2 linked regions of the Saccharomyces cerevisiae S288C genome follow. The gene in region 2 interacts genetically with the main gene of each other region. Each region holds a gene or a part of one and is shown on either strand. Other genes may lie near its edges.

Evidence for each region.
Region 1: mutations in MAK32 (region 2) and HPA3 impair growth when combined (synthetic growth defect), as found in Saccharomyces cerevisiae (one study listed by BioGRID).

The regions. Positions count from the first base shown.
Region 1 is NC_001137.3:24,666-27,953, reverse strand, and holds HPA3 (D-amino-acid N-acetyltransferase), read right to left. Parts: upstream 1,234-3,288; coding exon 748-1,233; downstream 1-747. Other genes in the region: SIT1 (siderophore transporter), read right to left, coding at 1-297; YEL067C (uncharacterized protein), read left to right, coding at 1,178-1,765; YEL068C (uncharacterized protein), read left to right, coding at 1,976-2,308. UniProt on the Saccharomyces cerevisiae protein: N-acetyltransferase that acts on a wide range of D-amino acids. Catalyzes the N-acetylation through an ordered bi-bi mechanism, in which acetyl-CoA is the first substrate to be bound and CoA is the last product to be liberated.
Region 2 is NC_001135.5:150,747-154,648, reverse strand, and holds MAK32 (Mak32p), read right to left. Parts: upstream 1,813-3,902; coding exon 721-1,812; downstream 1-720. Other genes in the region: PET18 (Pet18p), read left to right, coding at 1-637. UniProt on the Saccharomyces cerevisiae protein: Necessary for the structural stability of L-A double-stranded RNA-containing particles. Necessary for growth at 37 degrees Celsius as well as for maintenance of the killer plasmid.

The sequences.
Region 1 (3,288 bases), on a different chromosome or scaffold from region 2:
AGTCGCGTACGCCTGGAAAGTGTAACGGATATTACCATCTAATCCGTAAGCATAGGCAATGAGGAAAAGTGAGAAGAATAATGCGACACGGTAGATCGGGCGGTTGTACATTTCTGCGTAAATCTCGATGTTATGCACACCTGGATCTATCAATTCAATGTAAGAAGGTGCTGGAGAAGATGTGGTTAGCGTTGGCTTGACATCGACCTTGGCTCCTACTTCCTTTTCCAGCATCTCGGGAACGACAACCTCTTCAAATTCCTCGGGGAGGGTATGATTAGCAATACCAGGGTCCATTATGGAAAAATTTTCGTACTGGGTCTTTAACAGTTCTTTTACAAAGCACTACGATGTTCTAGCCTCATCGGTGATGGACGGTGTCCATTGCTTATATAGTATCTGCAAATCATCGCATCACAAAAGTAAATTAAAGGATCACGGATGAGCACTACTAATTATGGCAAAAGACGAACCAGATTGCACCCTCAAATGTGTTCTTTACGGCACATTGTAAACGATGAACTTCGGGGTCTTCCCAGCAGATAAGTTTCTTAAAATGCACCTGGATTAAGCTGCAAGTCATTCTGTGCCTGCGCCGTACGGCGCTTGCGATTAAATCGGAGAACAAACTATGAAAAGCCAATAAGAAACTATTTCACTGGGAAAAAGTGGGAAAAAAGCTTCGCAAGTGAGCCTATAGAAGCTAGAGTTATCTCTATACACAGTAGTCTACATTACACAGCGGTTTCAGTATCCGTTTCTCTTGTAAAGAACCTTATCTGTCTTGTAAGCCACTTTGGTGTACAGCAACTGTGCGCGGTGATTGTAATGGTCTGTAACCCAGTACACTGCAGGCGTACCGAGCTCATCGGCACGGCTGTATACAAATTCTATGAGCTTTCTACCTACGCCTTTGACTCTTGCGCGTTCAGTGACATATAAGTCATTCATGTAGACAACTTCTTCGACATGCCACGACGTCAAATGGTTCAGGTAGTGTGCAAAGCCAATTGCATCGCCGGTCTCGGTGTCAAAGGCTAGAGCACCCCATAGTTTGACCGTAGGGTCTATAAACCTTGCGAAGGTAGTGGTGGCTACTTCCGGAGGCATAACCGTTTTTTGGAAACCCTGATACTCCTTCCACAGTTTGTTCCAGGCTTCCTCATCTTTTGGCTCGATGGCCTTCACCACAATTCGATCGTTAACCATTTTTTCCGGTTCTTCGTTTGACATGCCTACGTTCTTCGTGCTTGCAAAAGGTGGAGATGGGTCTGGGGTCTTTTTCATTAGTCTGCACTCATCTATTTTATATGCCCGTTTTCCGCTTTTAAATATCTTGTCGCAACACTCTCCAGTATACTGTTCGCGAAGGTTTCCGCCTGATAACGATTTAATAACCGGATTGGGAAATATACGATGCGGTCAATTGGTGAAAAAGGCCTTACGCAGAGTATGCAATGTACCGCCTGATCATCAGCTGATCGCTTCAGTGCGATCGATTGGATATGCTAGAGTAGCATTCGTGTTTTGTACGTGTACGTCTGAATGTCGGGATAATTTGCAGAGTGTGACAAGAACTTCAGGCCATCAAACAACAATTAGTCAACCATGCACAGATATACAGTCAACACGGAAGTGCTCGACCATTTTTGTCTCTGCTGTTATGCAAACGGGAACTATAACTTTCTTCTGGACGTTCCATTTCCCCATCCCCTTACAACGCATAGTAAACCAAAAGCAGCCACCGCCTCAATCCTACGTTTAATACAAAAGTGAAGAACTACAATGGTTTAATTCTACTAGACGGCATGCTAACCTGAAAAACTCAAGCATTTTTATCTTTTCAGTCGGTCGTAGCTCTCCAACGGTTGTTTTTTCACAGTATATACTTTTTCATATTATCAGGCGAAAGATACGAGAAAGCCAAAATCAGGCACATTGAAAGGATAAAGCCAAAATCAGGTATACTGAAAGGATGAAAATTTTGGCACTAGCCGTCGCCTTTCAAGGCTTGGCATTGGTATGCTGTACGGATACAACAGACAATTATAACAATTTTACGCATAATACATCGACATTTTACCGCATAGCGGATTATGATAAGAGATTTTGGAGCGTAAAACTACCACCAGTGAATTGGACTACTTGCGGTAATGAAGATCATCCATGGATTACTATCCACTACGACGAGATTGATAAACTCGTTGACGATAAACTGGCAAGTTGGGACAAAGGACCTGTTCCCGATCGTGAAGAATTTAGGAACTCCATCCTTAGACAAGCGAGATGCGACCGCCCACATTACTAGCCATCAATTCTTAATCATTGTAAGCAAGAACTGTCCACTCTAACATTTAGTAGGCTCTCAAACATATGTTAACATAGCACCACTAATTGCACTTCTGATTTAATTGAAGAAAACGGCGTTAAGTGTTTCAAAAATATCAGGTCAGTTAAGAGAAAAAAAAGAAAAATGGGCCGGCAGTCCTTATTTATTTACTTCCAATTTGAATAACTATATAATTTTAATTAGATCAATTCTCTCCCTTTTTTTTTCAAGTTACAGTACTGAAGTGGTGGAAAGGACTTCTGGGTGTGAGTCCTGCAAATGTCATAATACTGTTACAATTTGCTCTTAATTATACTCCAAGAGATTTAAAGCGCAAGATGAAAATGCTCAAGATCAATGTTTTTCAACCTGAGCAGATGAACTAAGGCTCGCTGCTACGTTGTCAGGTATTATTTCTCCTTCTTTTTTCTTATTTCCCTGCAACGTTTGGGAAGAAAACGAATAATTTCAAACCACAGCCAAAAGGATAAAGTTCTACGTAAGAAAAAGTGGTTATTTACTACAATTTCAACCACGGAGCGACCATTTTATCAGCGGCTTTCCTGCGCCGTTGATATCTTCGAACAACTGGAGGGATGTCAAACAATCACACTCTCACATACCTTAATCAAAACTTCGATTCAATATTGGCATCTGCCTCACTGCAGTGTCGGAAATCTATATTAGGATGTAATAATTCTTATGCTGTGAAAGATCAAGTTCTGTAAGGACATATCATGCCAGATACTAGAAGCTATTTCCCCTTTCATGACTGTGACAAGCCCCATGCGAAGATTATTTCAAAATGTAATGCCTTAGGCCAGTATGCGTGGCCTCAAGTGAAATATTCTGCAAAAGCACTATCCTCAATAGAGCATAATTGAAACACTGTAAATCATCCATAAATGCAATATACAAAGTAAATTTTACAGTGTCAACCTTCAAACTTAAACTGACAT
Region 2 (3,902 bases):
CACTGATAAGTTAATACAAAAGTACGACGCCCTTGTTAGGAAAACCACAGAACATAAATTCGCTAAGGAACTATGTGCCGGAACATTGAAGGACCGTAGTTTGTACATCTATTTATCACAAGATCTGCAATTTTTTGAAACTAGCTTAAGGTTGATATGTAAGACGACTTCTTTAGCACCAACTACTCACGCTTTAATAACCTTAGCCAAAAAGATTGGATTTTTTTCTAATGATGAAAACTCATACTTTCATGACTGCTTAGAATTATTGGCACCATCCCTCACCAAGGAAGAAAGAGATAATTTTGACAATAAAGCGATCCCCGGCGTTGATGCGTATATTAATTTCTTAGATGAGCTGAGAAAGGACGCCTCAATTACATGGCCATCCTTAGTAACCAGCTTATGGGTTGCTGAGGAACTCTATTGGAGATGGGCTCGTGATACTCCTAGAGCCCCAGGGTTGCATTGGAAATATCAAAAATGGATTGATTTACATGATGGTGAGCATTTTCAAACTTGGTGTGAATTTCTAAAGGCTGAAGTTGACAAGTTTCCCGTCGAAGAAGTGGAAAGCATATTTGTGAAGGTTTCACAGTTCGAGTTCGAATTTTTTGAATCTTGTTACAACGCCTAATCTCAAGTAGTATATAACACTTACTTATATATATATATGTATATTTTTGCAGAAAAATAAGAGCAATGAACAAGCTGATATGATCATCGTGTTAGACTTTTGTAAAGATCGTTTATATTATATTGAAGACCGGACTGTGAAAGGTAAAATTTCAGTCTATCCAAGAATGTGATTCCGTTCCAGGTTTTAGCAATTGGATCGTACCTCGGTATTCCGAATTGTTCAATTATTGCGCCTGCAGCGATGTTCCCACATATACTAGCAATATCTAAGCTTTTCGTTAGGGCATAAGAAACTGCAAAGCCGCCAAGGAACGAGTTTCCCCCGCCAGTAGGATCTAGTACTTTAGACTGAGTTTTGAAATGGTAGGCGGGGAAATGGTCATAGGTTCGTCCGTTCTTAAACTTCTCACTTACCGATATGCTTCCGAGGGCACCGCATCGTAGAATACACATATTGTTTTCATCCATGAAATCATCGAAACGATGCGCTAATGCTAGACATTCTTCCAAACTAGTCGGTTCCTTGCTACTTAAACCAAATAAGCGACTTGATTCTTCGGCATTTGGAGATAATATTACCGTAACATCGTTCCTCTGCATTACACTTTTAATGTCATTTTGATGATCAAAGTCGCAAAGATCTGGGAATGGCTCCCAAATCACGATTGGTTTTGTGCCCTTTGAACTTTTCACCCGTAGCAGATCGTTTATTATGTCTAAGCATCTAGACCCAGAACATAGCAAATGAAACGCATGCATTTCATCAATTATCTTCTGCCCAAATGTGGAAATCCAGTCATCGACGTTAATCTGCTTCTTCGGCGTCAAAAACTTGAACTTTCTCAAATCATCACTTCCCTCGTAATAATTCAACCCTTTGGTAGTTAATCTGCTAAAGTCATCTCGAAACCTCACATCAGTACCCCATGAGTCTATTTCCCTTATAACTTCCTTTGGAAAGTCAGAGCCTCTGTCCACTATCCACTTCAAACCTTTGGATGTGACATTGCCGGAAGATATTATGCATGCACCCAAAATGGCAAAAGTCCCTCCGCCTCCTGGGACATTCTTATAGTGAATATTATATTTACTACGCTCGATGTCGTCTATGATAAACATGCCATTAGTTATGACTAGGCTTTTCGTTTCTGTAGAATCCTCTTCATTCATCATTATCACGTTCTTTATTTTCTTAGAACAGTAAACTTCTTAAATCAAATGTGAGAAGTGTTTTCATGTATAGCCAGGTTATGCAATAATAGAAGGGATGAAAGCTTTAGTCGCGCCTGTTTAATATGCAATTACTTTAGCACTACCGTTTATTGTCTTGATATGACATTTATTTGTCAGCTGAGGATCTCGGAAATTTTAAATGTAAAAAGGAAGTTCCCTAGAGTAATCGTAGCATTATCATACATTCAGATTCACAGAGCAACATGCAAGTTTTAAAATACATTATTAAGTTTTTGCAGAGGCAAATTATACATGAACACTCCTAAAGTACATTTAATTACAATTATCTCAGAGAAGATCTTCTTGAGTCCCAACCAACAAAAGTTTAAACACACAAAAATCGTAGCGTGCATCGTCAAGTTATGTTTGTAAGTACTGGGATAGTTAATTACTACATAGGAATATTCAAGATGTCTTTCTGATATCAGAATCGTTGTTTGTTTATTACGTCATTCCTCTTCATTTCAGTAATTCTTCTGAATAAAAGCGGAACCAAGACAATATACGATGTGCTTTTGACAGATTTGTACTTTTCATATTCGAGTAAATTTCCCTATGTTTGATGGAGTATCATAGTTTTGTTTTTCTTTTTGTTTCCTAGTCAGCCCTTTTCTTCCAGGTACATTATCTATTGAAAATGGACCCCATTATTGCTATGAATTCTGTATTACCTTTCTTGGATTGTAATTTTTTTTTCTTAAGTTATACTTGGGAACAAGACCAAACATGTTATCTTGCATAAACCTTATAAGCAAATTGGTGATATTGAACTGAGATTCCGATGACCGTGAATACCATCTAACAAGAAAATCATTTGGAATTTTGAGAAAATACAATATCCATAATAAGTACGAGAGATTAATTTTTGTTTTCAGATCAACATTCAAACACGGTTGTTAGGTGGTTGTTTTCTGATGTACTCACATGAGAATCACGTGAATTTTCAGATAGTTGTTGGGATTCCATTATTGATAAAGGCAGTAATATTATGTATACAGAATATACTAGAAGTTCTCCTCGAGGATATAGGAATCCTCAAAATGGAATCTATATTTCTACATACTAATATTACGATTATTCCTCATTCCGTTTTATATGTTTCATTATCCTATTACATTATCAATCCTTGCACTTCAGCTTCCTCTAACTTCGATGACAGCTTCTCATAACTTATGTCATCATCTTAACACCGTATATGATAATATATTGATAATATAACTATAGTTGATAGACGATAGTGGATTTTTATTCCAACAATTCTATATACGTAAAATTATAGCCTTTACCAACAATGGAATCCAACAATTACCAGCTATTCATCAAGTGATCAGAAAATAATATTGAGGTTTTAGTTCACATTTTAGTAACAGTATTTATATTTTTAAGTCACTTATTAAACGTAATTTTTCATAATTAAAGAGCCTTGTTGGCGCAATCGGTAGCGCGTATGACTCTTAATCATAAGGTTAGGGGTTCGAGCCCCCTACAGGGCTTTCTTTTTTCTTGGAAAAAGAAAGAAACTACATTACATGTGCCGCAAGCGCAAGTAACAATGTTTATAGCTTATCTAACGGGGAATGTATTTTAAATTCAAACAACTTGAGTTATTGAAATTATGAGTGAACCTTTCCGTCATACTCATTGCATTGCGCTCAAAATCTGCGAACGTATCGCACCAGCTATCTGAGTATAAAATAATAATACGCTTCATAATATATACTTTTTGGAACAAGTGGCCATTAATAGTGATATAGGATTGCTGTGTAAATGCTAATATCACATATAGATGTACATCTCGTATTACATGTGAATGTGCCTAATGTGGAAGGAAATTTCATACATGCAGTTCAGGTAGTAATGAAACCGATTTAAGATCTATTAATTGAACATTGATATGGTAGTTATACAAGAGTTATATTAATTATCACATTAACTGTATAGTAAGCTCCAAACACACATAATATTGATAATAAATAAGATGAAACAGTTGGCGATGTTTTATATCCCTCGCTTATAGAAGCATGAGAAGA